Lepisosteus oculatus: one gene and its partner. The protein of the gene in region 1 purifies or fractionates together with the protein of each later gene. This does not show direct contact. Links are inferred from orthologs where the notes say so. Each region holds a gene or a part of one and is shown in the gene's direction. Other genes may lie near its edges. The genes, in order: eif3ea and eif3ba.

Region 1 (15,875 bases):
CTGTTGTACATTATACAGCTCCACATTATACAGCTGCATTCTTGAGATTTTAGTGTAGCAGTCTCCAGAGCAGTTTTATTACATCTTTTTCTATAAATTGTATACCTGTGACATTTTGATTTGTCTGAATCATGTGTATACTACTGTGACTCATCCAAGATCACACAATGTCAGAGCCCTCTTTTGAGATGAAGCTGCATATTATTCAAGAGGGCAGAAAGCTGTGTTGGAGGAGTAAGCATCATAGTCAGACATATAAGTTCCTGTTTTGAGATGTTAAAATAAATGCTTTCTCTTGGTGGCCTTCTGTCCTCATTTTTTTATATCAATTTCTTTTGTGTTGTACTAAGTGTAGCTGGCCTTCTGGGCCAGGAATAATAATAATAATTGCTTACACTTATATAGCCCTTTTCTGGACACTCCACTCAAAGCGCTTTTCAGGTAATGGGGACACCCCTCCACCCCCACCGGTGTGCAGCCCCACCTGGATGATGCGACAGCAGCCAGAGTGCACCAGTACGCTCCCCACACACCAGCTCTCAGTGGGGAGGAGAGCAGAATGATGAAGCCAGTTCAGAGATGGGGATTATTAGGAGGCCATGATTGGAAAAGGTCAATGAGATATTAGAAGCTAAGTGATTTCAGGATATCCTCCATCCAGTTCTTGATAGAAGACAGGGTTTGGCCTTCAACAAGGTGGTTGGGTAGCCTGTTCCATACTCCCACAACCCTCTATGAGAAGAAGTGTCTCCTGTTCCTAGATTAAAATGCACTTCCATGTAGTTTTCACTTGCAGCCTCTAGTTCCTGTTTCATTGTGGATACTGAAGAAGTTCACTGGGCTGACTTTGTCAATGGCTTTTTGAGGATTTTGAATACTTGTATCACCGTCTTCTCAGTTTGAGGAAAAAAAAAAACGTTGAGCTCTTTTAGCTTGTCAGCAGAGGACATTCCCTTCAGCCCAGGAATGTCTCTGGTTGCTCTTCTCTGGACTGATTCCAGAGCCGCAGTATCTTATTTGTAACATTGTGACCAAAATTCCAGTTGAGGTTTTACTAATGCTTTGACGATTTTAACACAACATTCCTTGCAATCTACACGTTTAACTATATAGTCTAACATTTTATTTTGCCTTTTAATTGTCAACCCGCACTATCTAGAAGATGTAAATAATGTGTCAAAATCAATGACAAAAAACCCTTTTCATAAGTAACCTTTTCAAGCTCAGCATTTTTTAATTTTATGGTTTAGATTTAACTACCCTACCTGCATCCAAACACCCTGGAGATTTGTTTCACCACTAAAAATACTTTCTAAATCTAGTTTAATATAATACGCTGCTTCCACAGTTTTCGTAAACTTAATTAGTTCACTAACTATACCAGAATCTAGAGCACTGGGAAATAAAATATAGATCTGGAAGAGAAGTAGCAGTAATATAGTACATCCCCCATGTTACTCTGCTAATTACATCACCCCAGTTTGAACTTTCTCTCATTGTCTGAGCTCTCTGCTCTCTATCCATTAACCAATTCATAATCTAAACATTTCCTTGAATTCCTACCACCTGCTATCTAAGAATCACTCTTTATTTATGTACTCGAGGAAAAGCCTCAACACTACACTGCACTGAAAATTTACATTTAGAATATACATTTACATTTCTTAACAGGTTCTAGATTGTTCTTCTTTCTTACTTATATTCATCAAATACAGTGAGATGTTCCTAAAATGAACAGCTAAGGGAAAACACACTGAATTTACTGTCCACCCTGATTTTATACATTTACAAACAGTTGTGATATATAAGACAGCTAGCAAGTGTGACTCATTCAGGATTTGTGGGTTTCATTTATATGGAAAATATGCTGTCAATGTTATAGAAATTCCATGGAAAGGTGGAATATAGGGTTTTAAAAAACATTCATTAAAATCTTAAAATATTATTGGGACTTCTGATATGGTTTCATAAATACAGTCTGACATTTTTATTAAATATATCATTTTATATTCAACATATTATTGACTATATAGAGAAAGTTAAATATTTTATTTATTTAGAAACCCTAGATAATGGCAGACAACATTTTAACATTCTTCAAGAGTAAACAAGAAAGACTTAAGCACTGTATGATTTTTTCCCCAGAAATGTAAAATTACATTGCGCATCGTAATGACAGTTTCATTGAAAGACATCTTTGTTACCTCCAGAATTTCAAAGTGAAATTCAATTAAAAGTAAAAAAAAAACTTCTTTTTTTTTTGCTTTTTAAGAAAATAAAGCTTTCTGTGTTGTAGGAAAAATGTATTCCTGTATGTGGATTTTCCTACAATCTGATCCCAGGAGTTCCATCATTAAAAATGATTGGCTGGTTGAAATAGGAGAAACCCAAAGCAATTTGGCCTCCAAATCAGGATTTCAAATACAAGATTCTTTGTCAATTAGGATTGAGTTGCGGTGTTCAACCTATGGCTGTAATATATTTATTGGCTGCATTTTGTTAAGCTTTAATATTACTCTTTCCAACATGTTCTGCCAATTTGAGGCTGTTGTGTTTTGTCTTACTTTATATAAAAAAGCAAAGTTAAAAGGGAAACCTGCTATCTGTCGAATGTTTGATTCCATTTTAAAAGTAAAACAAATATATAACAGGAAAAACGATCGCGATTTTTATTATATATTGTTGAATGTTAATGTTAATGTTCTATTAAACTTGTGAGGAATATGAAAAACGAAATTACTATAAAATAAGGGAAAATTAAATCCTCTGGAGAAATATGATATAACCATCATATGAATACTTAAAAAGGAAATACATCCCTAAAGATCACTAGTAAATTAAGTTTAATGTAACATGATGTTCTTAGTCACTGTGTGTATAATAAAAAGATGATCAATAATTTGATATTCCCATGCAGAGTAGGTATGGATGACATGCTCATTGTTTTTTTCCAAGAGACTGAAACACCAGCTGATTGAACACAAAGAAACCCTCAATAACAACAGCTGAATCTTTTTTTTATTGTGAATGTTTCAGAAGTGGGACATCTGCAGGCAGATGAACATCCAGGCGTTGAGGCATGGATACATGCTATGTGACTTCTGAAAACAGTCTCATAGCTATGGGTTAAAAGTTAATGGTGTGCCATTATAAATGGGCAAATTATACAAATGGGTAAAAGTTACTTCAAAGTAGCTAAGGTAAGCATGTAATATCAGTACATTTAACCATCTGCACTGTAATTTGGTGCATTGGTTAGTACAGTATATTAACCTGCCTCTGTGTATAAAACTAAATATAAGAAAACAGAATGTACACTAATAGGTCTAACTCTGATGTTCTCATGTATTTAATCTCTGAACACAATTATTGGAAACACAACTAAACCTGTTATCCAAAGCCTTCCAGCAGACAGCCTATGGAGAGCAAAGTATGAAGTACATTGGTGAAATGCTATGTATTGAAACCTGGGCAGAACTAATATGCTCTCTTCTTACATTTTTGAAAAACTGAAAAATACTGTATATAAAAAAACTATTCACAGAATCATATTGACAGTTTTAGTTATACAGATGAATAATTCCATATACTGTAGATAATCATAAATAGAGACAAAACCTGAAAATTAAGAAGATTACATTGGCTATCCCTTGTGGTTGAGAAAGATTATTGTCAGTTTATCCAAAGCTGTCTGATAAGGCCAACAGGGCATCTGTCTGACAAGTTGAACAAGTTGTCCTCGGAGATATCAGGTTGTGTACTGTGGTCTGATGTGTACTTCAGCTCTCTCATTTTGCTTCCTCATTCTGATATCACTGGCCTGAAAGTGCTGGCATCCTTTCCATCTACTCCAATCAAAGCTATCGGTCTTTGAAGAACTGATAGCGATGTTGTATTTCTTTATGTTTACTTCTGTCATATGGTTGAAATGATTCCTCTGGCCTCCTCTGATTTCTTGGCAAAGTGGGGAGACGAAAAGCTTTTTTGGTCTGATCCTGGATTCTGATATTTGAATGACATGACCAACTCAACAAACTCAACTCAATCAACTCAGCTGATGGAGGATTTTCATAGTTTGGCATATTAGTGTTCTTGTTTAAGAGGCAGAAGTACCAATATACTAAGATATGAAATGTCTGGGTAAATGAATGTCAGGATAAAGCTGTCAGTATTAGCTTATGTTTTTGTTTAATCATTCGTCACTGCTACAGTATATCCTTGTCATTTGCACACAGGACTTACACAATACTGTTTGAAAACCTTTAAGAAAATAAGGTAAACATGAAACTCTGGTGGATGTGTGTAGTTAAGAATTGCAGTAATATAGCTTATTTTACTATAATCATTGGTTAGCAAACATGCCTTACTCTCATTATGGTTCAGGCAGTATGTGAAGTGAAGGATGCATGAAGGATGCTGAATATTATGTATTCCTACCAAAGTAAAGTGGGTGTAAAGTTATGGTTGCCTTAAATTGAACTTTTAGGTTTTTTGGGAAAATGTTTTTATAACTGGTAGCAAAATTACCAAGTTTCAGTCATCCCCAGTACATTACCGTGGTAATGCCAAAGGAAATAAAGAAAAGCATCACTGAGGTTCAATGCAGAAAGTTAAAGAATCAAAATCCAATCAAATTAAAGAGAGAAAGAAGCAGCTGTTCTGGCCCCTGATTTAACATTTTTATGACTCTGCAATACAACACTAAAGAAACAATGTGGACTTCAGCTCCTGTCTCCAGGGTTGTATGGGTTTTCCTGTCACCAAGTGTGACGGCACACCGACGAGCAGCCAAAGCGCGCTGTGTTGTAACTCAGTGAAACAGAAAACTCCTAGCTGACTTGTGAGTGTATATGACTCACGTCTACCTGAAGTCAGATGCGCAATTTCATAATGACAAGGCTGAGACTGTTTCAGTTTCAGGACAGCAAGCGGAGAGGATGGTGCCGTGGGGTTCTCACGAAAACTGGGGCTGGTGGAACCTGTTAGAAACGGACCTTTTGGTAGCTGACATCGGCTCTCTGAGGGTCAGTACGGCCGGCACATGGGCAGCTTTCCAAAGCAGCTGTTGGATAAAACACTGGTCTGTGTTCACATGGGCAAAAGGACGGTCTTAAACTGGCATATAAAAGTTTTACAAGAGACTACATTTTCTTATATTTTATAAACTTAGGTAAAATTACATTTAACTTTATAAGTAATACAAAGGAGCAAGTAAAGGTTTATTCCATGCTGAAAAGAGAAGAAACGAAACACCGAAAGAAGGCTACACAGCCGAAATGTTTCTTTTCTTCTCTTTTCAGCATGGAATAAACCTTTACTTGTTCCTTTGCAGCCTACGCCTGCTGACACAGCTACCTCCTTTAACTACTGAGTCATACATACAAATATGTTCTTATATGTTCTTATAAGTTCTTACACCTACTGTTAGTACATATTGTATTTTAATTCATTTTTAATTTAGCTTTTGTGCAAAAATTGAATGTCATAATATTGTATTATACTAACATGTTGTCAGCTGACCCTCCTGAAAAATCCTCAATGTTTCACAAGGCCCACCACATTAATGTAGACTATGATTAAATCCAGCCATTTCAGAACAGCTTTATCCACTACAAGGTTGTGGGGGAGCCAGAGTCTATCCAGGTATGCACTTGGCACAAGGCTGGAGACAGCCTGCATGGGACACCAGTCCATCACAGGGCAGACAGGGAGACGCAATCCTGCACACACTCACATTCACACCAGGGCCGATTTTCCCAGAAGCCAATGAGCCCACGAGTTTGCCTTTGGGAATGAAAGGAATTCTTCAGTACTACACAACGTGGAGAGGGCGTCAAGAAATGGAGGAGAAAGTCCTTGCGGATCTGAGGAGGGACATTTGCAGGCAAGGGCTTCTCCACAGAGAAGGAACATGGACAGGACTGGGGGCTTTTCACAAAGGCTAAGGACTTCACCAACACACCAGTCTATCTGAAATGGTATGTGTGAACGATTGGACATTCACAGTTTAAGAGTCAGGCTGGAGCCAAGTGGACACAACAGGGGGTTACCGTGTCCCCCAGCCAACAATTATTGGAAATGTAAATCGTGAACAGAAAGGGTGAAGGACTTGCAAGGCCAAGAAGGAGCGTTTTCGCATCTCTAATGGCCAATCTGTTATCAAGAAGTCTTGAAATCATTGTACTGCATTCAAATAACTTTGTATATATATATATGTCATGGTTGTAATAACATTTATATTTGCAAAAAAAAGGGATATCTTTGAAAGGAAACCCACATGAGCACAGGGAGACTGTACAGATAGCACCCAGTAATTAAACCCCGGTCCCCAGAGCTACAAGGCAGCAATACCAATCACTGCACCACCATGCTGCCTAATGATTCCATTTTAGAGGTCCAAACAGGCATTATGGCAGCTGGGAAGGAAATCTCGCCTTGAAGGAGGATGAAAATCAAAGCTTGACAGATCACAGCTTCACGTTTCATCTAATGCTGTGTGTAAGACACAGAGGGGACTCATGAAAGGGATACTGTGATACTGTGTGATAGGATGTCTGTGTGACACGTGTCACACCAGGTAGCCCAATTGTAAGTACAGCTGTTGACATTTCTTCAACAATAGTCACATACACACTAGTTCAAAATAGGCTAAACTGGTGTGTAGCTGCTCAGAAACCTTTGCTAAGAATAGAAAAGAAAACGTGAAGGAGAAAGCAACCAAGAACTGTATAAAATGCCACTATAATACTGTTAGTTTTGTACACAAAGAAGAATATGCAGGTGCCTTTCAGATCGCAACAGGTTTTGTATTGGATATAACCTTTACAGCTTTTTTGCATTGTGGATGTTTTGCTTCTTGTAAATTGACAATGCTTCGCGTAAATTTTTAAAAATGTGAAGTTCTTGGAACTGGATACAGTGTCTATCATTTGTTAGTTTCACATAATTTAGTTCTTGGAAATGGTATTCTTGATTGTACTTTCCACATGCCTATTCTCCTGTACGTTTATTATCCCCTGCGGTAATCTGACTCTCTGCAAAGTGCTTTGAGATGATGCTCACTGCGAAAAGGTGAAAATAAAATTTGATCAACTCGATTGAAAAGTAACCTGAGTTATGTTATCAGGAAATACACGCACCCTCACAAGTTACACAACTTATAAAAGAAACAGACTGTCCTCAGAATTTACTTTTACTAGCTCAAAACCTTTGTTTTTTTAATGTCGCTCTTTGTAATCTCTTTTAAAAAAATGTAGCAAAATCAAAGGCAAAACAGACTTCAAGTACAACTGCACTGCATTTTTTTTTCCACGATGCAGGGCAATTAACAAGAAATACCTTTTGAAATACATTACTCATATTAATTTCCATTCTATTTGAAAGAATATTGTCTTGTTCTTCATCTGGAGAAAATGCAGGACAACATAAAACAATTAAACAGTCTACAGGATGTGGAAGTCAATTTTACAGGGGCCACGAATGTCCTCCGCTTTAAAAACAAATGGAATGAATATGTCCTGTACATAGCAGCAGCCTGAGGCTTCCTCTGGCCAATACCAGGTATTGATAACATATTGATATTGATAGTGATGGCTGGTGTATGATATTGTGTAAATTATACTGTATATAATTAGCTCACACCTGAAGAAGGCTCCACAGCCGAAACGTTGTGTTCTCTTTCTTCTTCTTTTTTTCAGCATGGAATAAACCTATTACTTGTATAATTAGACATGCCAGGCAATCGCCTTTTATGGGAGCCACGTAAAAGAAGTCCAATAACGAAATAATTATAGATCGATTCAATATAAACCACAAAAATATATAAAATCTGAAAATACAAGATGACTCAGCAATTTCCATGGATGGATATACTGAATATTTGCATAAACGTTTATTACAAACATAAGGCAATTACACAGACCTGTTTTGAAGCACTGTGCTTCAATAATGATACCATTATTGGATTTTTAATTTTGCTCAGATTTGTCTTACATAAGTCCTATCATTAAAGTACTGTATATATACTGATGGAAAAAAGAAACGCAACACCCCCTCCTCCACACTCTGGCCCTCCCCTCTGCGTGGAACAGGCTGAAGAGTGACTCATCTGTGAAGAGGACCTGATGCCTCTGCTGACGAGTCCGTCGCAGCCTCTGTCTGGCCCAAGCCGGTCGGTGTGACGTCTAGGAGGTGTGAGCAGAGGGCCTCTGACAGGTCACCTTGCTCTAAGGCCAGCAGCATGGAGCCTCACTGTCCTGTCACTGATGCGGGCATTGTGTCTGCTGGCAGTTTCAGCAGCAGTACGGGCGACAGATCTGAAACGATCTCTCAGGTGGACCAGTCTGATATGTCGGTCCTGCTCTGGTGTGGTCACTTGAGGGCGACCGGATCTTGGACGGTCATCTGTCCTGCCGGTCTGCTGAAACCTTCTCTGCAGTTGGGACACAGTGGAGCAGCTCACTCCATAGTGTCTGGCAATGCTGGCACATGACATGGCTGCCTGCAGCATGCCAATGGCCCTCTCCCTTGATTCTGGTGACATTCGAGGCACTATGGGATGCACAGAAAACTGTCTGGCCTTTTTCTTGCAGTGACCTAAGCTTTGAATTAAGGACTTTCAGGCATTGTTCCACCTGGACCTCGTTGGGTAAAAGTGCACCTAACGAGCTTTCGTGTGATTGGCAAGTTACAGTGCCTCACTGCACAAGCTGTATTGCTGGTCAGAGGGCTTAAAACAAGTTGACAACAGTTTGTGAAAGAACATCAGCTATGACTATAGTATTCTCAATTCAGAAAATGTTGCGTTTCTTTTTTCCATCAGTATATTTTGCTGAATACCCTGATATAACGGCAGTTTCCAGGTGAAATGAAAAACCATATAACAGCAAGAGCAACAGTTAAAACATGGTGGGTAGCTGCGTCAGCATGCGTAGGCTGCAAAGGAACAAGTAATAGGTTTATTCCATGCTGAAAAAAAGAAGAAAGAGAACACAACGTTTCGGCCGTGGAGCCTTCTTCAGGTGTTGACCTCAACACCTGAAGAAGGCTCCACGGCCGAAACGTTGTGTTCTCTTTCTTCTTTTTTTCAACAGTTAAAACATGTTTACCCTGAAGTCCCCAGTAAAACAGCAGGGTAAAACTAATCTGTCATTGCTATTTTGACTGCTTGTTGATTTATGAAGTTAAAAACAGAACTGGATTGTGTGGTTTCATTTTTTTCTTGTTTTGTTAAGCAGGTTCTCAAAGGTTTATTGCTTTCAAGTTATGGAAGACTTTAAAATAAGCTGAAAATAATTGATTAGATGAATCTTCTTTAGATCTAATATTGTCTTGCGGTGACATCAAGATACGTGCCAGAACAACTGTAACAGAATCCCAAATTTTAGTTTGAAAATTAATCTGGATAGTATAGAAGATGTGGGAGTATAGAACTATTTACCCAGCCATGTTGCTAATGCCAATACTGTACTTCAGTTTCTTTCAAGTAACAGCTTGGGTGAGAGTCTTGAACCAATTAGCTACTAACTTATACATTAAGTTAGATGTAAATGCCTATTTAAATATACGGTAGAAAGCTGGGGCGACATGTTTTATAAACCACAAATTGTGAAAACCCTGATTATTTGGCTAATTTTAGTTATTGCACATATGCTGTGTTAGAGATAACTGTTGCGCAACCTAACTTGTACCTTTGTCTCTGCGACGGTGCTAATAAAGCTTTTCTTTTTTGAATCCCCTTCCTTTCTGCTGCAAAGATGGCGGAGTACGATCTGACCACCAAGATCGCGCATTTTTTGGATCGCCATTTGGTGTTCCCTTTGCTGGAATTCTTGTCTGTTAAAGAGGTATTTACGTTTTTGTACAGTCCTATCGTTTTTTGTTACCGCTTGTTCTTTTCGCTTTGAGAAATGTTGCGGTAAAGCACATTAAAAGCCACGTGTAGTGTTGCCTATCTATTCAATGGAGCCGGCTATGGGACTAGGCCTCTAAATACGTTATAGATCTTTCGACTTAATTGTAAAAAAGCAGGTAGTCAAGAAATATTGTGGAACACTCTATATAAATGATTAAAAGACCAAGCTTTCGGGATATCCCATTGGATTTTTTAAAATCACAATTGTTTTTTGGTAATAGTTCTGCAGCCTGCTTACCGGACTTATCAAAAAGGTTTTACACTTTACATTTTATACCGCTGTTTTAACAAAGTAAATATTTGTTTTATAACAAACAATGCAACAGAGTGTCGTATGATATTTCACCTAAGCCTAGCTAATAAACATTTAATTTCGCTGAATTAAAGAAGCCGGTTTCTGTGTTGCTCTTGTTCTACGTATAATAAGGCTGTGAACTGGCTACAAATCTCAGGGAGGTGCCTGGGTATATTCGGTAAAGACCACAGTAGTTTTCTATTTCAGAAAGCGACGTCATGTTGCAGTGAATTTCGCCTTGCGTATTGATAAAGCATGTTCACTTTGAATTATTGCCGCACCCTTAGTCGCTGATCACACTGGCTAAATGCAATGCCTTTTACCCCGTGAAACTAACGTAAATAACTAGTGCACCTCTCTTCCTTGATTCATTAAAATCGACCCTTGTGCGTTTCTAATGCTGTGATGTGTGGTGCATTGTATATCATTGTACTCGTGCTTGCCCTTTTATTTTCCGAATCTCGTTACCTTGTAGTGTTAAAGGTGATCCCTAAACAGTGCTGATTAAAAGATATGTTGTTCTTGGACAGTAAAATGTGTATACAATTTAATGCTGGAAACCGAGAGTAGTCCCTGTAAGACCAGTCAGAATTCTGATTATTCTGATAATAGGAAGGTCTTTATCTCCAGACTGATGCTCTAAACGGTTGTCTTGTTTACTGTGCGAGCTCCGAAGCACAGGCTTTTCAGACTTATATGTTGTTAAGTCACAATGATTTAGGTTTTTAAACTAAGACATTTGCGTGACAGTTTTATCTTTTGGGGGTAATGCCACACTTTTTTGACGTCACGAGAACTGACCATAGATCTGAGGATTGCGGTGGCTCATTCCCCTCCTGTTATCACGGTAATCTTGGGAACAGGTAATAGGTTTATTCCATGCTGAAAAGAGAAGAAAGAAAACGCAACGTTTGGCCATGGAGCTGAAATGTTCTGATACCACACATAGTAATCTTAAATTGCTTAAATGTGTATCGTGTTTTATGTGTCTATGTATATATGGTATGTTTGTATGTGTATAGTGTATGAGTGACTCACAGAGTCAAATTCCTTGTAAGTGAAAACTTACTTGGCCAATAATCTATCTAACCACTGTAGAGTTGTGTTTTGGGCTCTGGACTCCCCACTAGAGAGAATGAGTTGTGGGTTCAAATTCCAGCTAGGTTACTTCTGTTGTACCCTAATGCAATGTACTTAACTCTGTTTGCCCCAGTAAATGTCCTCTTGTGTAAATATATACTCCCCAAGATGTTCCACAGGACAGTTTGTTCTCGCATGTGACTAACTTGGTAAAATGAAGGATGCATAATTTGAAGGATGAAGGATGCATAAATGTACTGCATTGCGTTAAACACTTCATCCATTCATTATGTGACTGGGGAGGGAGAACCAACAGTTAGCAAAACTGCATTTAAGTTACATGCCATCTCTAAATACTGGTGCAGATATTTTGTTGAGACCTAAATGTGTTTTGAATCATTCAAAAACAATGCCTCTTAACCCCCCTTCTGGGCTTTGTAGGATTTTTGGTTGCTGAAATACTCAAGTTAAGTGCATTATTTCCAGTAACTTCAGAACTTCATGCAGTTTCTCTTCAGCTTACTTTCTGAGAATTTGCTGCCTTTATTTATGACTGAACAGCCCTTAAGAGGTGATACATTTCATGTTGAACAGACACAGGTAAGAATGACACTATTAGTGTCGCTCTGATGCAGTGTTAAATAAACTCTTAGGGTGATTTTCTGCTTTCTAAGGTTTAATGGTGAAAAATCAGACTGTATTTTAGCTACCACACCAAAAATAAGGCCAGTTTAAGTTAAATTTACAATTTAGATAGCTAATTCAAACAGTCATCCCAATAAGAAATCTCATTCAACTTTTCAACAGCTGAAAGCAAATAAAAAAAAAAACTCCAATAAAAAATGAAATAAAATGCTCGTGGTTAAGCACTTTGCTGGAATAAAAACCAGAAGAGGGGGGAGTTACCCGGAACTTGGACTGAGAACCACTGTACTAGGGTATTTTCTAAACCAAGGCCTGACTGCAGAAAAGCCTAAACCACCAAGCAGATCAATTACTGGCTGTAATTAGCACTGGTGATTAAGGGCTGGAACAAAAGCTAGCAGAGACAGAGGTTCTTCAGGACCAGGTTCAAGAACTGCTGATTTAAGCAATCAGCAAATAAAAACATTAGTTCCTGGTACTTCTGGATTAAGTGATTAGACCACAGAATATATTGATCCAGAAGTTCTCCTTTATTGTGAAAAACAGCATGTTGGTGTCCTTTGTTACATATGTCTGGAATGCTCAATCTACCAAACGCTTAGAGAAGAGTGAACATCCTTTTCATTTTCTCATTTGCTGCAGTACTTTTCTAGGATGTGTCTAGCCAATCCCAGTTGAATACAGACACTGGTCAGAGTGGGGAGGTCATGGCATGCCAGCCAAGCCTGAAAATGGACATTTGGGTGTCTACCATGTGTGCTAGAAAGGTTTCTGAGGAGGCAGAAGCAGGGGCGCCGTATAAATGGCTGACCTTGCGTTCTGAATCCAAGCTTCTCTACCCCTTGAAAAGACAAATTCCTAATGCAAGAAATTGTATATGACAAATAAAGCAATGTTATCTTTTTTTTGCACACATCCACTTTTCCACCAATTGGTTCCAAGCAGTTGGAACAGTAATACTACATCCCTATACTTTATCTTCCAGCAGGTTGATCAAGGTTGGAATCTTCATTTTTGAGTACACTGCTTTAACACACTCTGCTGCCACCTTAGATCATCTGTGATCCACAGAAGATGGCGATTTTGTTACTCAAATGTCAGCATGTTACCCCAGAATGGCCTCCAAAGAAGCAGATAATTTCCATGCAGATAGTAAACTGCAGCTGTTCTGCTTGTGCACGGGTTATTTCTTCCTGGTGACCCCTGTTTTCTTGGATCTGGCCTGCCTCTCACAGAGCCAGTTGTCTGTGAACTAAAGAGTGCATAAAATAGTTTAGCACCATAACACGATTAAAGTATAAAATAATCTTGTATTTTTATGACTTTTTTTGCATTTTTAAACTTGCGTTCTTATTTCACAAGACTGAAATGTGTTAAATTTGACTTAGGCAACAGTTTCTGGAGCCAAACTCATGTAAGTTGAGGGCTTTATACTTTTTAACTTTTGTTAGTTTCAATCTGGACTCGTGAAATAAATGTTAAGACGTATTTTCATGGAAATATACAGAAAAACAATTAGTACAGCTTTAAATCAAAGAATTTTCAAGGACTGAGAGCAGAAAAAACATCTACCCCCAAAATCAAAGAACTAGCTGAAGCGAATCATTGCATTTCGTTTGCGGTCCGTCTGGGGATCCTTAGTGGTGTGTCCTGTAATTTTTTTTTCATCTGGATTATTGTTTTTCTTTTACAGATTTACAATGAGAAGGAACTTCTGCAAGGAAAGCTGGACCTGCTCAGTGACACCAACATGGTGGACTTCGCCATGGATGTTTACAAAAACCTGTACCCTGACAAGGAGATTCCCCACTGTGAGCACCTTGTCATCGATTTGCACTTAGCATTGCAAGCAGTTCAGGGCTTGCGTCCAAGCCTAAAGTGTTTTCTGTGAATTGGTGTGTCCTTCAGCCACACAGTAATTACATTAAATTCCAGCTTTTGCCTTGTGTATTCCTGGAAATTTGTATGGAACATTATCAGAGATGTTTGAACATTTGTGCTGAACAGTACTCAATTACAAATCGGAATCCTGCTGCAGAATACTTTCCAAGTGTTTGCAAAGGAGACAGAGAACTCGCCCGAGAGGAGTATAAAGCATGTCACCATTTTAGTGGGGTTTTTTTTCCGGTCCTGTTCTCTGACCTTGAGAAAAACAGAGGAAAGATGCTGCATGCCCGTTGACAACAGAATTTAAAGCAATCTCATGCCTAATTCTTTCAGCTGTAATCTGGCATACGAACAATAGGAACTGTTAGTTTTGAAAGTAGGTGTTCATTATAGAAATGTCTGTAGGGGAATATTATCATGCGAAGTTAGTTTTACTGTAGTAATTACAATCGTAATTGATATAATTGATATAATTTTGCATTGACAGTCATTACGTAAGGATTCCCAAAACTTACAAAATTATTGCAAATCGTTAAATCGTCATCTTATTTTAGTAATTTTATGAGAAAACTGTTAGAAGAGGCACTAATATTCACACAAGATGCCCAGAGTGCGTATTTACTGTTGCAAACCAGCCCCTACCTGATTATGTCCAGCTTCTTAATGGGATGGTTTTGACTTTTTTGAAAAGGAAAGCGTATAAATCCAAAGCACATTGTGCCAAATTTCCCCTTTCCTTCTCATCTTTTCCCACCTCTTGATTTTTAGCCTTGAGGGAGAAGAGAACTACAGTTGTGGCGCAACTGAAGCAACTGCAGTCTGAAACAGAGCCCATTGTGAAAATGTTTGAAGATCCAGAAACCACCAGGCAGATGCAGTCCACAAGGTAAGGCTGCTTACGTGTAAGCTGACTAACCTGATGTTATATATTCGCAAATCTGTCCCAGCTTGCCTCTTACTTAATGGTATGATTAAGTACAAGATACTCCAGCCATGACCCACAAGACATGTTTTCTAGACACAATGCGTTAGGTTCAGTCACCTTGCATTAGTTACCTGATATTATGTCTTACATCCTTAACTTCAGCGTTAAAGTAATTTAGCAATTTGACTTGCTTTGTTAACATTACCATTCTGATTAGCAACAGCGATAAAACATAGGAAGTAAAGATTGCGGTGATTAAAAACAAGAGTTAATATGCTTTCAAGTGGACAATGGGCATTTTACCGAGAATGACACATGGTCTCTTGAAGGTGTAAAATGTAAGCATAATGATCATCACTACAATGTATTTAATGGTAGAATGTTGGTATAGCTAGTTTGCAACACTTTGAAGCAGAAGAATATGAATCATTATAGATGGGTGGCTGATGTGAGAACGTGACGATTAAACCCAGTCGCTGCGGTTTGTGAATATTTTACGTTTCTTAGTAATAAAAAGTTCATCCTTGATAAAATACAACAAAATGTAGAATGCCGTGAATTCAGCATTCTTGCATTTGCCTATTCGCGGTTTGGTCTGGCCAGCAGAGTCTGTGATGAGAGAAGAGCAGAGTGGGATGAAACCGAGCCGAAGGTTTGTTTAACTTTGAACTTTCAACTTGGCGGCACGACAGCCGAGGGTGGCGAGACGAATCTACAGTAGCAAGTGAGGGAGCCCCTGCCTGCGGCCCCCCAGGCACTTCCTACTCGGGGTCCTCATCTCCGCGCGGTCTTGTTTTTCTGTTGTAACGGGGAATGACAAAGGCTGGCGAGGACTTTAGAGGCTCTCTTCCAGTTTTATTGCCCTTTTCATTACAGTGGGGCGTGCTGATCACAGAGACGGAGAGAAAAAGTGCAGGAATCTGCTGGATGCGAGAATTCATGATAATATTATCACTGATTACTATAAGCTTGTGGTTACTGTTGTTTTTTAGCTGATTGGTTTAAATTAACTTAAAGACTGCATTAGTACTTTATTATATAGGTAGTGTTACTTATCTTTTAAGTATGTATTCTATGTACTGTATACATTATGTGACAGTACAGTGGAGGAGTTGATTATATGCGAATTG
Region 2 (15,870 bases), on another chromosome or scaffold:
AAAAGGTTGAAAAGTTCAAGGGGGCCGAATACTTTCGCAAGGCACTGTAGCTCTGCTGCTGAACCTGATACTGACAGCACTGCTAATGTTAGCAAGTGTCGGAAAACGGCTATAAGGTGGTACAATCCAAATTATCTATGTGCTCAGTGCTATTTCTATTATATGTGTGTGTGTGTGAGTGTGTGTGCGCACGTGCTCATATTGGTCATTCAGATTTCTGTGGTTCCTATGAGAAGATGACTTGTAGGTGGTACTTGAATGCTTTGGTTTGATCAGGGGTGGTCCAAAAAGTTTGAGAACCACTGCCTTAGGGTATAGGCAGAGTTAGCTAATGTGGCTCAATACCTCTATACTGGTATTTTTACCAGTTGAGCTATTCGGAAGCACACACAAAAAAAGTTTCTGTTCATATTTTACAAGATTTCAAAAAGGTAGGATGGAAACATCACAGTAACACACCAATAATTTATTTATTCCAAGAAAACATATGTCACAAATAAAATAACTGCTTTAAAGCAGTAGAAGTAACTTACCATGCATAACAGCTCTTCCGTGTGGTACAATGAAAGGCAAAGTAAAGATGAACAGGATCCTTTCTGGGACAGCTGCTTCTTTGTAGCCAATTTTTCAAGAACAAATCCACCCTCCAAAACTTTTAAGAGGAAAAAAAAGTGACAATGATTGTTAAATTCCTAATATGCTGGTACTGAAGTAAAATGAAATTATGATTATGCAACAAAGTGCAGCTTTTTTACTGTGTTGAAAATACCTGAAGACTGTTGTTGTTCATCTATTGCAGCCATAATACAGTCTAGTGGCTGGAGGATTACTTGAATGGCCTTGCTCCTCAAAATATGTGGGCTGCAATACAATTGTCTGAATAACATATTTGTTTGCAGAAAGCAAAACAACTGTTACTTTGATCAGATACTTTTTAAAACAAAAAACAAACAAGCAAAAAAGAAAAGGTCTCTAAAGCTTTAAGCACTAAGTCTACTTAAGTCCTGAAGTACATGCTTACCAGTTTTCTAATTTGAATATTCCTAAAGCAAAGGGAATAGCTTGTGTGGGGTTCAGAGTACACAGCATCAGATCCATCAGATTTACCAAGTTGGAGTCCTCTTTGTTCAAGAGAGCAGTCCTGAAAACCAGTTTAAAAACTTCAAATTACACTCATAAATTAACAACTGAAAAAATAACCTTCTCCAGAGCTCATTACAAGACTAGAATGTAGTGCAGAAAATTAACCCTTTACACAAGGAAAAAAAAGCAGAAACCAACAGTAAAATAACTGAAAATACAAATATCATTTTTTATTCCCATAATGAGGCACAAGACATAACACTATAAATAAAAATAAGGTAATTTTTTCCTTTACTGAAAGAAATGAAAAACTAGCCCTGTTTTAAACAATGCAATGTACCCTCTCACAATGCATTCAAACCAGGCCTTCAAGGATATTGGCACACTTCCTCCCCTCTTTTCTATTCTGATATAACCAGTTTAAAAATAATATTTTTAAAAAATGAATTGAAGACAAAGAATGTTTAATAACCTTGATGCAGTTAGAAGGACTTCCAAGAATGGCTGTTCCATCACGATCTGGCCATTTCCCATCCGTGTCTTAATAGCAGCCTCCGTCTTCTGCCAGAGTACTTCCATGACCTGCGGCTGGCAGTGTACCAGAGCCAAAGTCAGGAGCCTTAAGGACTGATGGGTGTGGAAGGAGATGTCAGAATGCAGTGCATCTCCCAAATGTTGTGCAATTTTAATGCTGCAGTTAGCCCATTCAGTTTGTTCAGCATAGGTGTTACATTCACAGGCCACAGAGTTCTGCCAAATATCACTGTTGTCTGAAGATGAATGTGCAGGTACTTTCTTTGGGAAGTTTAAAATGTGAGCCAAAAGCTGATTAGCTGCTGAAGCAACAAAGAGGCTTCTGTCTATTTGTAAATTCAGGATCATTTTAGTAAAATCTGTGAAAAAAAGAACAATCCAAAGTGCAAAATAAGTACTGAATTAGGTTTGGGAGGCAGACCCTCAACATTTGACATATAAGGCATTTGCCATTGTAACTGATTTTATTTTTCAAAGCTAGCTTATTTCTTTGTCTAATTATACAATTTGTAATATAAAATCAAAAGAAAAGCACGGTACCAGTTAGTGACACAAGAGGGCCTTATATCATGTGAAAACTTCACAAACCAAACACCATAATGAAACAAGTGGAGTTTTCTTCCGAAGGCGAAACGTTTCATTTCTTCTCTTTTCAGCATGAAATAAACTTTTTACTTGTTTCATTGCAGCCCATACATGCTGATGCAGCTACCTACTTGAACTTTCTCAAACCCCTTAATTAATAAGTCTCAAGGGGATCCCCAGAAGAAAATAATAATAATATATAATAACATCACTTTATTAACCCTTTACAATGTCTTGCATTAGGAATTATCTTTTCGAATACCCCAGCTTGCTCTCCATGAGACACACAGACAGGGAGAGAAGCTTGAGGTCAGAGCGCAGGGTCTGCCATTGTTCGGCACCCCTGGAGCAGTTGAGGTTAAGGGCCTTGCTCAGGGGCCCAACGGAGTAGGATTCTTCTGCCGGCTGTGGGATTTGAACTGGCAACCTTCTAGCCACAGGCGCAGATCCTTAGCCACAGAGCCACTGCACTGCCCCAAAAAGTGAACCAAATGAAGGCTCACATTTAATTAAACACACAATCCTAGATATTGTTAGTGACCAGAGTTCAGGGGAGATCTACAGTCTACACTTAGAGAGGATTAGAAAAGGATCTCAGAGAGTAACTGTGTCTGTTGTAAGTTTGGACAGAGGATAGAGAAGTGGTTCTAAGTCTAAGTCTTTCTTGTGAGGGATCCACCTTCTGGCTTTCGTTCCAGCAAGCTCTTAATCAGTGGCTAAATTAATTTTCAACTTTGAAAGGATTAAGGTCTCCATTTTTTAGAAATTCTTCAAGATTGGTGGTGGTGGAGGGGAGTCCCCATTACCTGTAAAGCGCTTTGAGTGGAGTGTCCAGAAAAGCGCTATATAAGTAAAAGCAATTATTATTATTATTATTATTATTATTAGATCTCTGACTGAACTAACAGACCTTTTTTAGGTCTGCATTTTTGTCTATGTAAAAATGCTGAAATACATCACAATTTTAGAATAAAACACACACCCTCCCTACAAATTTAAATTAGCAGAAAATTCTCAATTCTGCATTTTATCACCTTAAAAATCTGCATGTATGAATTAAAATTATTTTTAAAAAGGTGTCTTATGATTAAATTAAAAAGACACTGCTATGCAATCCTATTTAATTATGTCATTTCATAGCTTTCCCAATATTTAGTTTGGAGACAAATGGTCATTGGATGGCAGACTTGATCATTTGGACAGAGTACAATGTCTTCATTATTCGGATGTTTCAAGTTCATAGGAAAGGAGCTGTAAAATGACATATTGGGGAAAGAGTAAAATGGTTACATTTAAAGTTAAATTAATTTTATGTGCATTACTATGTGCAATTCCCACCGTTCATTATGATGAAATGCATAACCCTCCAGTGCTGGAGCATGCTCCATAATCCATTGATCCACCCACTGCGCACTATTGCCTCATCCCACAGCTCTGTGTGGGTCAGGCCTGGGTTTCCAAAGAGACTGTGCAAAATGTCCTGTTCCTGAAGATGACAAAAGTTTTCACAATTCAGGCTATTCAATTTCTACATTTCAAGCATCCTAATTATGATATCTCCAATGAAGACTGCCAACACTAACCCCTGAGCACTGAGATTCAGCCTACTTATTTCAGGCATTGTTTCTTTTTCATGTGGCAATCAAGCAACAAGAGAAACAGGAGAGATTGAAAAGCCAGTATCTGAAAAGTTTATAATTTAAAAGTTATATCATATTCTGTTTAAATATTCCTGCTAGAGCTGCTCCAATCTGAAAAAACACAGCTGTATGTAAAGTTAGCAGAACACAGTCAGTTCCTCTTCCAAAATGATGATTATGTCTTACATTTTATCTACAATACTTTGTAAGAGCTATATTGCCAGCAAAAAGGTTTTTTATAGGCTAAACTTTTAGAACACAAAGTTAAAAGCTACCAAATGAAATATATTAGGTATGAAATAATTTTCCTGTAGCACACTTCCAGGAATTGTATGTAAAGAAAACTTCAAGAGTGGCTTTGATCAATTTACCTCTAAAAAGCAAAATCCCTCTTCAGTAGCAGCTAAGATCCCAACCAGTCTCAGTACAAAGGAGAGAACAGTGGGTTCATTTGTCTTCAATTTACACACACTGGATATCAATTCAGTTAAACATGGATTGTGCTGCAGCAAAGATGCCCCAGATACTAAAAAAGAAGAAATAAAGCATAATATTATATATTCAACTTTTAAAAATGAAGTATAACTGAAGATGAATTCACTACCTATGCTTAAAATAATACCTCCATCTTAGTGTGTTTAAAACTAGACTTACTAGTGTTACTGAATAGCCAATACCAGCAGCTTCAAAGCCAGTAAGTGCACCGTACCTAACTTGGCAAATTAAGTAGCCATCAATATTCCCTTTTCATGCCAGCTGTACTTTGCAAACGTGACCAATATGTCACAATCTAGTTTAGTATTAGGCTGACTAAACCTAATTAACACATTAAAGTGTTCAACACCTGAATTGTTCCACTGAGGATTGTCTGAGAATCTTCTCTAGTGGTGCACATTTATTGATCTCTCAGTTTCCTTTAAAAAAACCCTTAACTGTATAATTGAGTGTGAATATTATAGTCCCTTTGAAAATTACAGCTTTCAGTCTGTTTCAATAGCTCACCCTTTTTTGTTAGGTCTTTAAACCAGTCCAGCAGCTTCTCAAAGCAGGTATCATCAGGGAGTGACTGCTTTGGATTAACAAGAACTGTACAGACAAGAGGTAGCAGCTCTGCACATTCACTATCCATTGTTTTGGTTATCTGGAATCCGAAAACAAGTTTTAATATTCTCATTAACAACATACAAGTTAATTAGTAAGTTTTCAATTAAATAATGTGCACTTCCCCCAAAATAACAGATATAAATCATCTCTACTTCTATTACAAACTCATACAGCTACCTTCTGTACAGCTCATTTCAGCCCACACATACTAAAAATTCTGTCCCCTTTTCACAGCTTCTCAGGTTCTGACAACTTTGCAGTGACACTGACTTCCAAAACCAAGCCCTTAAAATGCACAATTTTTTCATTAACAGAGGATACTCCACCCATATTATTGACAGGGCCCTTCCCAGAGCCAAAAATAGCCCTCAGACCATCAACTCAATTAGGAGTTCCCGGCTTCACAACCACATTCCCGTGGTGCTTCCCAACCACCTTAACACCCTTTCTATCCCCAGGACCATTAATGACAACTTCCACATCTTAAAGGATGATCCCTCCACTGGCACTCATTTTTTCGTAAAACGCCCCGCCATCTCATATTGCCAACTACCTAATCTAACCTTATAGTATACTGCTCTCTTGACCGCAGTCAGCAATCATCCACACCAAGAACCTTCCCCTGCAACAGAACTCGCTGCATCACCTGAAAATATATATCCAATACCATGCACATTCAAGGCCCATCTGGACAATTCTGGATCACTCAGATGACATCTTGTATCTCCAACAAATTTATTTACTGCATCTCTTAAAGAAAATGCCCAGCTATTTACACTGGTGAAACAGGAAGGAGACTGAGAGACCATTTCAGGGAACATGTCAGGGCTGTGAGGATCAAAGATCTCTCCAAGCCCACAGTTTCCCATTTCATCGCTAACAGCCATGATCATACTGATCTTTCCATCTTTGTTCTCAAAGAGGGGGTTCGGATCTCCTATTGCATCCAAAACCAAAATTATTCTGAAACTAGGATCACACCTTCCCCCTTTTCTCATTGACAGACTTGTTTCCTTCTAATCCTCTGTATTCATCTGCAGGTTTTGACTTCACACCTCTGTTCACCTCTCTTAATTTCAAACCACCTGAGTGTCCACTCTGCTTCTCTCCTGCTCCCACCTCCTCTGCAGCTTTTGTTCTCCTGTGCTTTATCAACTGCCGATTTTCCTCTCTCACACCTGAAAAAGGAGCTACAGCCGAAACGTTGTTTCTTTTCTTCTCTTTTCAGCATTGAACAAACCTTTACGTGTTCCTATAAATCATCTAAATTCAGAACACATAATCTTAATTGAGTCTTATAAGAATTTAAGCACCTTCAGGTTTTGAATTGAGGGATCTAAATGACAATTTGCTATAATATTAATTTTAACCTAATTTCTTGAATTATTAGTAATCACAATTTTTCATTAAGTAAATAGTAGTAATTAGTAAGATGATGCCTGTGCCATAAGAATTATTTTCCCATTTAGAGTTAGAAGTAAACGCATCGAAAACTAATACAAATTCTAAACATAACAGGGACCTAATAAAATGTCATTTGCTATTTTCCTCTGTACAGTAACATGCGATTATTTGGGTCAGTAAAGTAATTATGCGCATTAAAACACAACGGGTTTAACAATACCGGAGTTTGCAGCTTCCTTATCTTATTGTGGCAAACACAAAGATGAACGCCGAGGCGTAGATATACGTTCAACGAAAAATTGTCGTTAACGTCTGAAAAGTGAAGGGTGGGATCCCAATCTAGTGTTTAAGTCACGTGTAGCTACAACTTTACTTTGGTTAAGAATAAGAATTCACAAAAATTAAAGAGAAAATTAAAGTACACAACACACATTCATTTTACCACGTGCTCTTCTGTCCTTACTAATCATAAACAATCAAAGATAGTTACAGACTTCTACAATAAAACAAATATAGAGATTCTACATTTAAACGTTTCTCAGTTTAACATAATTTACGATGACTAACACATCACAATCAATAAAATCTCCGAATTTGGGATTTGTGAAAAGCCCAACCCTTCTTACATTTCTCAAGCACTTCCTCCTGTAACAGGAAATAATCTGGAGGCATCCATTTTTAGAACGAACCAAATTGTGTGAGGGGAAATATTTAATAGAGTATTCAATTTTTTCACCTTCAGTATATGCTAGAAATATTATAATAAAATTGTCATTTCTATTATATTATAAGATCGAGGTTTTGATAGGTGTTTTCGTTTTACGTGTTTAGAAAACACTACCTGTTAATCCTTACCCCCATCCCTCCGAAAAGGTTGAGTCCCTTTTCACTGGAAGTTGGCTCGCGCCGGTTGTCGTGCACATGGCCTGCTGAGCAAATATCTAGATTATTTGATAGAAAAGCTGGTCATATTAATTTTCCATAAATCTATTGAAAGGGTAAAGCTTTAAATGCGGGATACGGAGAACATGGCGGCCGAAGCCGAGTTTGAAGAGGGTGAAGAGCTATCCTTCAGTGACCCAGAGGATTTTGTGGATGACATCAGTGAACAGGGTAATCGAGCGGAGGAAAGCACCCGGCTTTGCGGCCTGGTTGGAATAACTCAAATAAAAATAAGCGCTATTTAATAAGCTTTCTTACTGTTAAATGTAACGATGGTACAACTCGCGGCCTAAAAATAAAGGCACTAAATCGTGCATTTCCGTTCAAGGCACTCAATTTTTAACAGTTTCTGCCCGGTTGTGGAGTCATTGACGAAGCGAGCATGTCGCAGCTGGATGTATAAGTTAAAAATGATAAGAAAGCAACCAGTTTAAGGACACGAGTAACACATTCTTAAGTAACACTAACGTTATAGATTGAATGTTCGGTCGTATAGTAACAAAGACCTCAGTAATTCAGTGTTGAGTATGCAGCAAGGTGTATATATAGAGTAAATTAGAGTTACTACGGTTTTTTTAATTTTCAAATTAAATGTATTATTCTTATATTTAAAAGGTGTAGAAATGTCTTTTCAGGTGGCTGTCTATTGTACATTTATATTTCGTTGCAAGTTTCTGTAACGGTATTCCAATATGTTCGTTATAGGCAAATGAGTCGCTTTTCGACCTGTAGTTGATCTTTACCGGACAGATAATGTACAGGTTTATTTAACGCAATCCTGACTATTTTATAATGTTCTGAAGTGTTACCAATATTTTGGAGTTTTTTACTCCAACATGTTATTAAGGAACTTTTTAAACTGAAATGTATAATTAAAATTAAATTGAGTAAAATGACGAAATTACACCAATCTGGTGTAAAAGTGGATGTTAGTTACATATTTATAATGAAAGATAAGCAGCGCTCATCTATCGTTACTGAAATTGCATTGGTAAAAGCACTGTATGCTCATTGAACTGTGAACGGAAGTAATGTCACTGTGTTTTTATAAACCGCCGAACTATATTACGTTTATAGTTCAACTTAATTACTGAAATAAAAAATATTAAGCCTGCTGCTGTGTTAAAGTACAGATGATGCTGTCTACAATAAAACATGGATCTCGCATTTTGTGGGTGTGTACTCAAAAATAACTAACTGTAGTTGGGCTTTACTGATAACTGATGTACTGCTCTTGGAACTGTATTTCTGCCTGTTTTTCAGAACTGTTGGCTGATATTCTGAGGGAGAGGCCCCAAGAGGCGGACGGTATTGACTCGGTTATTGTGGTTGACAACGTTCCTCAAGTTGGACCAGAGCGCTTAGAGAAATTGAAAAATGTCATACATAAAATTTTCTCAAGATTTGGCAAGATTACAAATGAGTTTTATCCAGAAGCTGAAGGAAAGACAAAAGGGTTTGTATTGCATATTTATCATTTTGCTCTTTAAAAAATTGCATTCAACATTTACTACATGAATATGTATGTACACTCATTGATTTATTCTCATTAATGCATTTATAACTTTATTTTCATTGTATTTAGTCTGGTTCTACTGAATGTGTGTACTACTGCTGTGCAATTATTTATGTATGCAAAATAAGTTATTTTAATATAATGGTATAGTTATTAATTATATATAGATTAATTATTCTACGTATAGATTGTTTTTTGTTATTCATGCTATTAAAAGTTATTTGGACTTGAAGTTAAACTCAGGTATGTTCTAGATTTATATCCAGGTTATTAGCTATTAAGAACTTGCTTTGAGGAATAATACAGCTCTTACAAATTATTTTGAAGGCAAACATCTATTATTGATTTGTTGTTGTGTAAGACTATATTAAAAGTAAATCATGTCTTCTGGGGAAGTTTGTAGGTAGTTGTGCTTCATTGTATTTCTCTTGTGTAACACTTGTGTTTAGGTACATTTTTCTGGAGTATGCATCGCCAGCTCATGCTCTGGAAGCAGTGAAAAATGCAGATGGCTACAAGCTGGACAAACAGCACACCTTCCGAGTCAATATCTTTACAGACTTCGACAAGTGAGCAATTTATTTTCATTTATACACTGTGTACTGTATGTCTCCGCTTTTTTCTTTGCCTCTAAGTGATACATCCAAGGGAGTTTGTTCAGATGGGTACCTGCTGGAGATGGGATTGAAAAACACTAAGGGTATTATGGATTGGATAGAATTACTGAACAGTCATCTCCCCATTTCTGTAAATGCTCTTTTGAGATTTATTTATAGGAAACCTGATTAGAGGTAGTATGTGAACTTGCAAACTCTTGTTGATATTAGGTTTATTCCATGCTGAAAAAAAGAAGAAAGAGAACACAACGTTTCGAAACGTTGTGTTCTCTTTCTTCTCTTTCTTCTTTTTTTCAGCATGGAATAAACCTATTACTTGTTCCTTTGCAGCCTACGCATGCAGACGCAGCTACCCACCTGAACTACTCTTGTTGATATTGTTAGTGTTGCTATTTTTTAATTAGCATTATTTTTGTATAGGTACATGAATATCAGTGATGAATGGGAAACCCCTGAAAAACAGCCATTCAAAGACTTTGTAAGTATCATTACTAATTTGTGTATATCATTCAGGATTGCCTATACAGTTATCACTGCAAATGTTATATCTGTAAGTGATGCTGCACTTTTGAGACTACCATCCTCTTTAACACATTTTAACACATTAAGGCCAGCAAATTATTGTACAAACATTAAAATTATACTGAAAAGTATTTTATTTTAATTTCTCTTTTAGCATTTAAGTATTTTGTTACATTTGGTGGCTGGCCTTATGACCTCAAAGTAAAAAAAGTTATAAAAGCAGTGAAGTTTGTTGCAAACTCTGTTTGCTTATTTAATGTTCAGTTTAAAGATCATAAATTTAACATCTTCAAACACTTGGGAAAACATAAAGTCAGTCAAATCTCATCTTTTAAATCTATTTAAAAAGATTTGATGATTTAAGTATCAGTTCTGATGACTAATAACAATTTTGTGATCGTCCAATTTGGATTATTCTAATTTAAGGGGAATCTACGGTACTGGCTTGAAGATTCTGACTGCCGTGATCAGTATAGTGTGATTTTTGAAGCTGGTGAAAGGACAGGCATTTTCTCCAATGATGTCAAGGAACCAATTACGATCGAGGAGAGAGCTGTAAGTAGTTTACAAAGGCAAGACTACTCTCTGTATTTTGCCCATGTGACCATCATAAAGTAAGAGTCACATAAAAGGAGACCTTCCAAGACATGTCCACTTGAACTGAACTTTTAATGTGTATGTACTTATGTTCTTAACATGGCCATTTTAATTAATATAATGCTCACATTGACACCTTTTTTGGAGGCAATATAGTTTGGAGTATTGAATGTGATAAGTAAAATAGTCTACCCACAGAGGCAGTCTTGGTTTGTTTTGTGCCAAGATGGAATTTTTAAATAAAATACTCTGAGAAGTAGTGGAGAAGGATAAGAATTCCATATGCAAAAATAGGTCAATTCGGATGCATTTTAATGTAGATAGCATTTGCACTAATGTGGTGCACAGCATTAATGAACATGTAAAAAAAACGTCTACAATCTTCTAATATTGTACTTTCACATCCCTAACAGAAATGTATGTTCATCGGTTTCATTTTACTGTAATAAAATGTCTTTAATTCATCTAATTGAATATAATTCTTCGTTGTTGTTGTCTACAGCGCTGGACAGAGACCTATGTTCGTTGGTCTCCAAAAGGCACTTATCTGGCTACATTCCATCAGAGGGGTATTGCTTTATGGGGAGGAGAGAAGTTCAAGCAGATTCAGAGGTTTAGCCATCAGGGTGTTCAACTCATTGACTTCTCACCATGTGAAAGGTGAAAGAATTGCCATTATCATTATCACAGTGATCAAGATTTTTTCTTAAAGTAATTTTTTTATTTCTGGATTTTTAAAATGTTTATCCAACAGGTAACAGCTGGACATAAGGCATTTTTAAATCCCAAATATGTCAATTTAATGCTATGCTTTAGGATCACAAAGAAGATTACAGCCAAAAAGAGGCTGTTCTACACATCTGGGTGGACCGTAAAAATAAAAATGTTTTTATTGTGAGCTTTGGAAAGAATCTTGGTGGTGCATGTTTGCTGTGTAAGGAAACTACAGTTTTAAGCCTTCTCTGCAAGGATCGTATAAAAACTTGTTCAGCCTGCACATATCTTTTGGATAAAGGAGTAGAAAGAAAACTGTATACGTGGAAGTAAAGATTTTCATTTGTGTAGAGTAATATATCAGAGTTGAATCAAAACGAACTTTGGAGACTAACCACAACATGCCAAAAAAGTAACATCTTGTTTCCTGCTTCACCTTCTTTAAAAACAATAATAATAATTGCTTACACTTATAAAGCGCTTTTCTGGACACTCCACTCGAAGCGCTTTACAGGTAATCGGGACTCCCCTCCACCACCACCAATGTGCAGCATCCACCTCAGGTGAAAACATTAGGTGAAACTGCATTAAATTGAAATGTGTGTTGTTTGGTTATTACATGATTGTTTTCACGTTTTTGGTTCTATGATCTTAAAATGTTTTTGTATGTGAATTTATGTAACTGTTCTGCACATATGCATAAAAGATTTTAATTGTGTTTTCAATTACAGGTACATGGTTACATTCAGTCCTCTAATGGACACAAAAGATGACCCCCAAGCTATTATCATCTGGGATATTCTGACTGGGCAGAAGAAGAGGGGTTTCCATTGTGAGAGCTCAGCCCACTGGCCAATTTTCAAGTGAGTTGTGTTTGTTTGTGCTGCAGTGCATTATAGTTTTTTGCCCTCTTTATTTATCTTCCCTTATTTTCCCCTAGTAATGGAATTTGAGCATTCATTTTAAAGATGACAAATAAATAAGTTAACATTTGTACCTACTTTTAGTGACAGTGTAACTGATAGAGCCTTCATACTTGTTTTTTAAATTAAGGCCTTTATATATAAGAATAAATATATTTCACTGCTGTTAGTCAACAGGATTGTAGTCTTTGCATTCAGAGAGTAGTGTTATAATCTACATGTCTTAGATTTATCAGTACTACTAGGGGGCTTATGCAAATTAAGACTATGCCTAATATTCCGTTTGGCATTTGACCTAAAGTATTTTGGTAGTTTTCAATCAATATTTTTTTAATCTTTATTTTTTGTATGAAATTATTTTCAGGTGGAGCCATGATGGAAAGTTCTTTGCCAGAATGACACAAGACACACTCAGTATCTATGAAACACCTGTAAGTCCCTTTTTTTAGATTTAATCATTGAATGAACAAAACGACCTTCAGTACCTTTTGAACTAAGATAATCAAAGATCAAATATTACTATATAATTCATTTTTGTAGTTTTGACTTCACTTTGCCTAATGCTAGATTGTTCCACTTTAAGCTTAACAGTAATAACCATTTGAATCATGTAATTTTTTTCCTCCTCTTTAGTCCATGGGGTTGTTGGACAAGAAGAGCTTGAAAATTGGTGGGATAAAGTAAGTGCAAGAAAAAATTGAAGCCTTTTAATAAAAATACTACAAGTAGTGTGTAAAAATGGAATGAATTAGGCACAATAATGATATTAAAAACAAGGGCTTCCTCACCTTTGTGGTTAATGGATTAGTTAAGCCAATAATATCACAGCATGCTTAGGATCATATATAATATTGCGCATCTGTAACTTTGAAAGAAGCGTGATTGTTGGGGCACATTTGTCAGGAGCTTTAGTACTGAAAATGGCGGCTAAGTAAAAAATTGTCAGCATGGAGCTTGGAGGAAGACATCAGATCAATTGACTGCATATTATAAAGTCATACAGCTTGAAGTGGTGTTTCCATTATCTTATCCACCATTTGTATGTTGTAATTGTGAAAACATCGTTTTTTGGTTGTAATTATTTTTAAGTGAAATAATGTCAGTGATGTTGTGTGTTAAGTTATTTGCATATCTTTCCAGGGATTTCTCATGGTCTCCTGGTGACAATATTATTGCATTCTGGGTACCAGAAGACAAAGATATTCCTGCAAGAGTAACACTTATGCAGCTGCCATCCAGGCAGGAGATCAGAGTTCGAAATCTGTTCAATGTAGTTGATTGTAAACTGCACTGGCAGAAGAATGGAGATTACCTTTGTGTGAAGGTAGACAGAACTCCCAAGGGAACCCAGGTATAGTCAGTGGAGTTTATCCACTGGAGCTTTTAATTGTTTTTGCAGCTCATTGTAAAACAAGTTTAATACAGTTGACTAGGAGGATAAGAAGACAACCGAGGAGGTTTTAAATGTTCAAACTATCGTAGGTTTATTGCTCTCTATGTTCCTTGTTAAACCTTCAAATATAATCTAGTAATTTGACTTATCTTTTTTTGCATAAGAAAATGGGATAATAATTTAGTAATTAATATCCTTAATTTGTACAATGCTTTAAAGCATGTGGGAAGGATATTTCAGGATTTTTTCAGAATTAAGACAGATTTCTGTTAGATAGGTGTTAAAGGATCTATTTACTGTTAAATTATTAAATCCATAGTTGTATTTAATTACACAAGAGTACTAAAAACTAATTTAAGCTGTTTCTTTTGTAGCCAAATAGTCCTGCAAATGTTTTCTTTTTTATTTGTAGGGTGTTGTGACCAACTTTGAAATTTTCAGAATGAGAGAAAAGCAAGTCCCTGTTGATGTTGTTGAAATGAAGGGTGAGTATTTGGACAGCTTTATCGTGTTTATAGAATTCAAAGTAGAGACATGGTTGAATGTGTTTTGCTTTTGCAGAGAGCATCATTGCTTTTGCCTGGGAGCCCAATGGCAGTAAATTTGCTGTGCTGCACGGAGAATCTCCAAGGATAAACGTATCATTTTACCATGTTAAAAACAATGGCAAGATCGAACTTATCAGTAAGTGACTTTTCTTTTAATCATATTTGATTTATGAGTTTAAGTTTGTTTCTGTTTGAAGCATTTTGTTACAGTAGGAAGTTCTTAAGTTGTACAATATTTGCATCTAATGGCAATAAATCATAAGTGGAAAGAGTAGGATGCACACACTCGAACAAAACGTGCAGAAACATTCTATTGGGTCATTCCCAATTAAGGAACTGGTGAGAACATACACCGGGAACATTCGTTTTAAAAATCTGTAAAAAAAAGTTTCAGTGCTTCAAGAACAACAGTTCTAAAATTTAAGTTATTTTTATAGTGGATACAGAATTTTATTGTGTGATATTTAGTTATCAACAGTCATCAAGTAGAACAATTTATAAAAATATAGAAGCATTAGGAAAATCCAAACTGCTTCCCTTTTGAAAGAACAATATCACAGTATTAGCATGTCCATCTCTCCTACAGAAGGAGTTTCCCAATGCCTACATATCTATGAGGGGAACTTGAATTCAACATAATTGTTGAATTGGCAGACTGAAGATGCATTGTTGTGGCACTGTGGCTAAGGATCTGTACCTGTGGCTAGAAGGTTGCCAGTTCAGTTCATGTGGCTGGCAGAGGAATCCTACTCCGTTGGGTCCCTGAGCAAGGCCCTTAATCCTAGCTGCTCCAGGGGTGCTGTATAAATGGCTGACCCTGCGCTCTGACCCCAAGTTTCTCTCCTTGTAGCGCCGTATAAATGGCTATTCATGCCCTCTGACCCCAAACTTCTCTCCCTGTCTGTTTGTCTCGTGGGGATATGCGAAAAGACAAATTCCTAATGCAAGAAATTGTATATGACTTATAAAGTTATCTTATCTTATGGAGCTGCAGTGATGTGCTATGCTTTGTTTGAATTGCCTTTTATTTTTAACAACATACACTTTTTCACATGGACAAGAGATCATAAAAATGATGCCCTGTGTACATGAAATCCTTATATACGTATTTTTATTTTATTTGCTTAGCTTACATATATTTTAAGTTTATCGTATTAATTTTCTGTAAATGTTTTTAGCACACTGTGCTAGTCTTTGATGTTTGATATTTTATTATAGGTTGGAATTTGTTGTAAAATAACTGCATTGATGGAATCCAATATTCCCATTATTAATTTAGGCTTTTATTTTTTAAAGAAATGTTTGACAAGCAGCAGGCAAACAGCATTTTCTGGAGTCCACAGGGACAGTTCCTTGTCTTGGCTGGACTTAGGAGGTTTGTATCTCTGTTCTTTGTGGCATTTTTTGTTAAACTTAGTAACAGTAGTACGAAGTATGTTCCAGTGACATTGAGTTCGTTTATCACAGGAAAAGTCTAGGACACCTTGAGTCTAAATTGTGCGTTTGTCAAGTAACAAAAGCTAATAACCTAATAAGAAAATAAGTAATTCTTTAAAATGCAAAATAATTAGTGTTTTGTAAGATCTGAAGTTAAAATTAGATCTTTCATCTCTGTAAAAATATTTTTTTTGTCATTATTGTACTGTATTACATAGCAATATCTTTTGTCACAATTATTACTTTTGGCCACATAGACTTATGTTTTCTTTCTTCATCAATGTAATTGTTACATTAATACCTCATTACGT

What was found.
Region 2: the proteins of eif3ea (region 1) and eif3ba purify together in Homo sapiens (affinity purification with mass spectrometry; 9 studies listed by BioGRID and IntAct, counting the BioPlex papers as one, with this or other methods). This does not show direct contact. The link is inferred for Lepisosteus oculatus from reciprocal best matches to the Homo sapiens genes EIF3E and EIF3B.

The regions. Positions count from the first base shown.
Region 1 is NC_090705.1:38,865,978-38,881,852, reverse strand, and holds the start of eif3ea (eukaryotic translation initiation factor 3 subunit E-A), read left to right. Parts: upstream 1-9,723; 5' UTR 9,724-9,755; coding exon 9,756-9,845; intron 9,846-13,626; coding exon 13,627-13,744; intron 13,745-14,588; coding exon 14,589-14,706; intron 14,707-15,875. UniProt on the Homo sapiens protein: Component of the eukaryotic translation initiation factor 3 (eIF-3) complex, which is required for several steps in the initiation of protein synthesis.
Region 2 is NC_090714.1:9,154,326-9,170,195, reverse strand, and holds the start of eif3ba (eukaryotic translation initiation factor 3, subunit Ba), read left to right. Parts: upstream 1-7,218; 5' UTR 7,219-7,360; coding exon 7,361-7,463; intron 7,464-8,555; coding exon 8,556-8,748; intron 8,749-9,257; coding exon 9,258-9,377; intron 9,378-9,845; coding exon 9,846-9,903; intron 9,904-10,373; coding exon 10,374-10,502; intron 10,503-11,046; coding exon 11,047-11,204; intron 11,205-11,989; coding exon 11,990-12,121; intron 12,122-12,545; coding exon 12,546-12,612; intron 12,613-12,814; coding exon 12,815-12,861; intron 12,862-13,321; coding exon 13,322-13,532; intron 13,533-13,986; coding exon 13,987-14,059; intron 14,060-14,135; coding exon 14,136-14,258; intron 14,259-15,418; coding exon 15,419-15,497; intron 15,498-15,870. Other genes in the region: brat1 (BRCA1-associated ATM activator 1), read right to left, coding at 534-652, 770-861, 1,022-1,141, 1,556-1,976, 3,541-3,688, 4,214-4,368, 4,845-4,983, 6,782-6,820.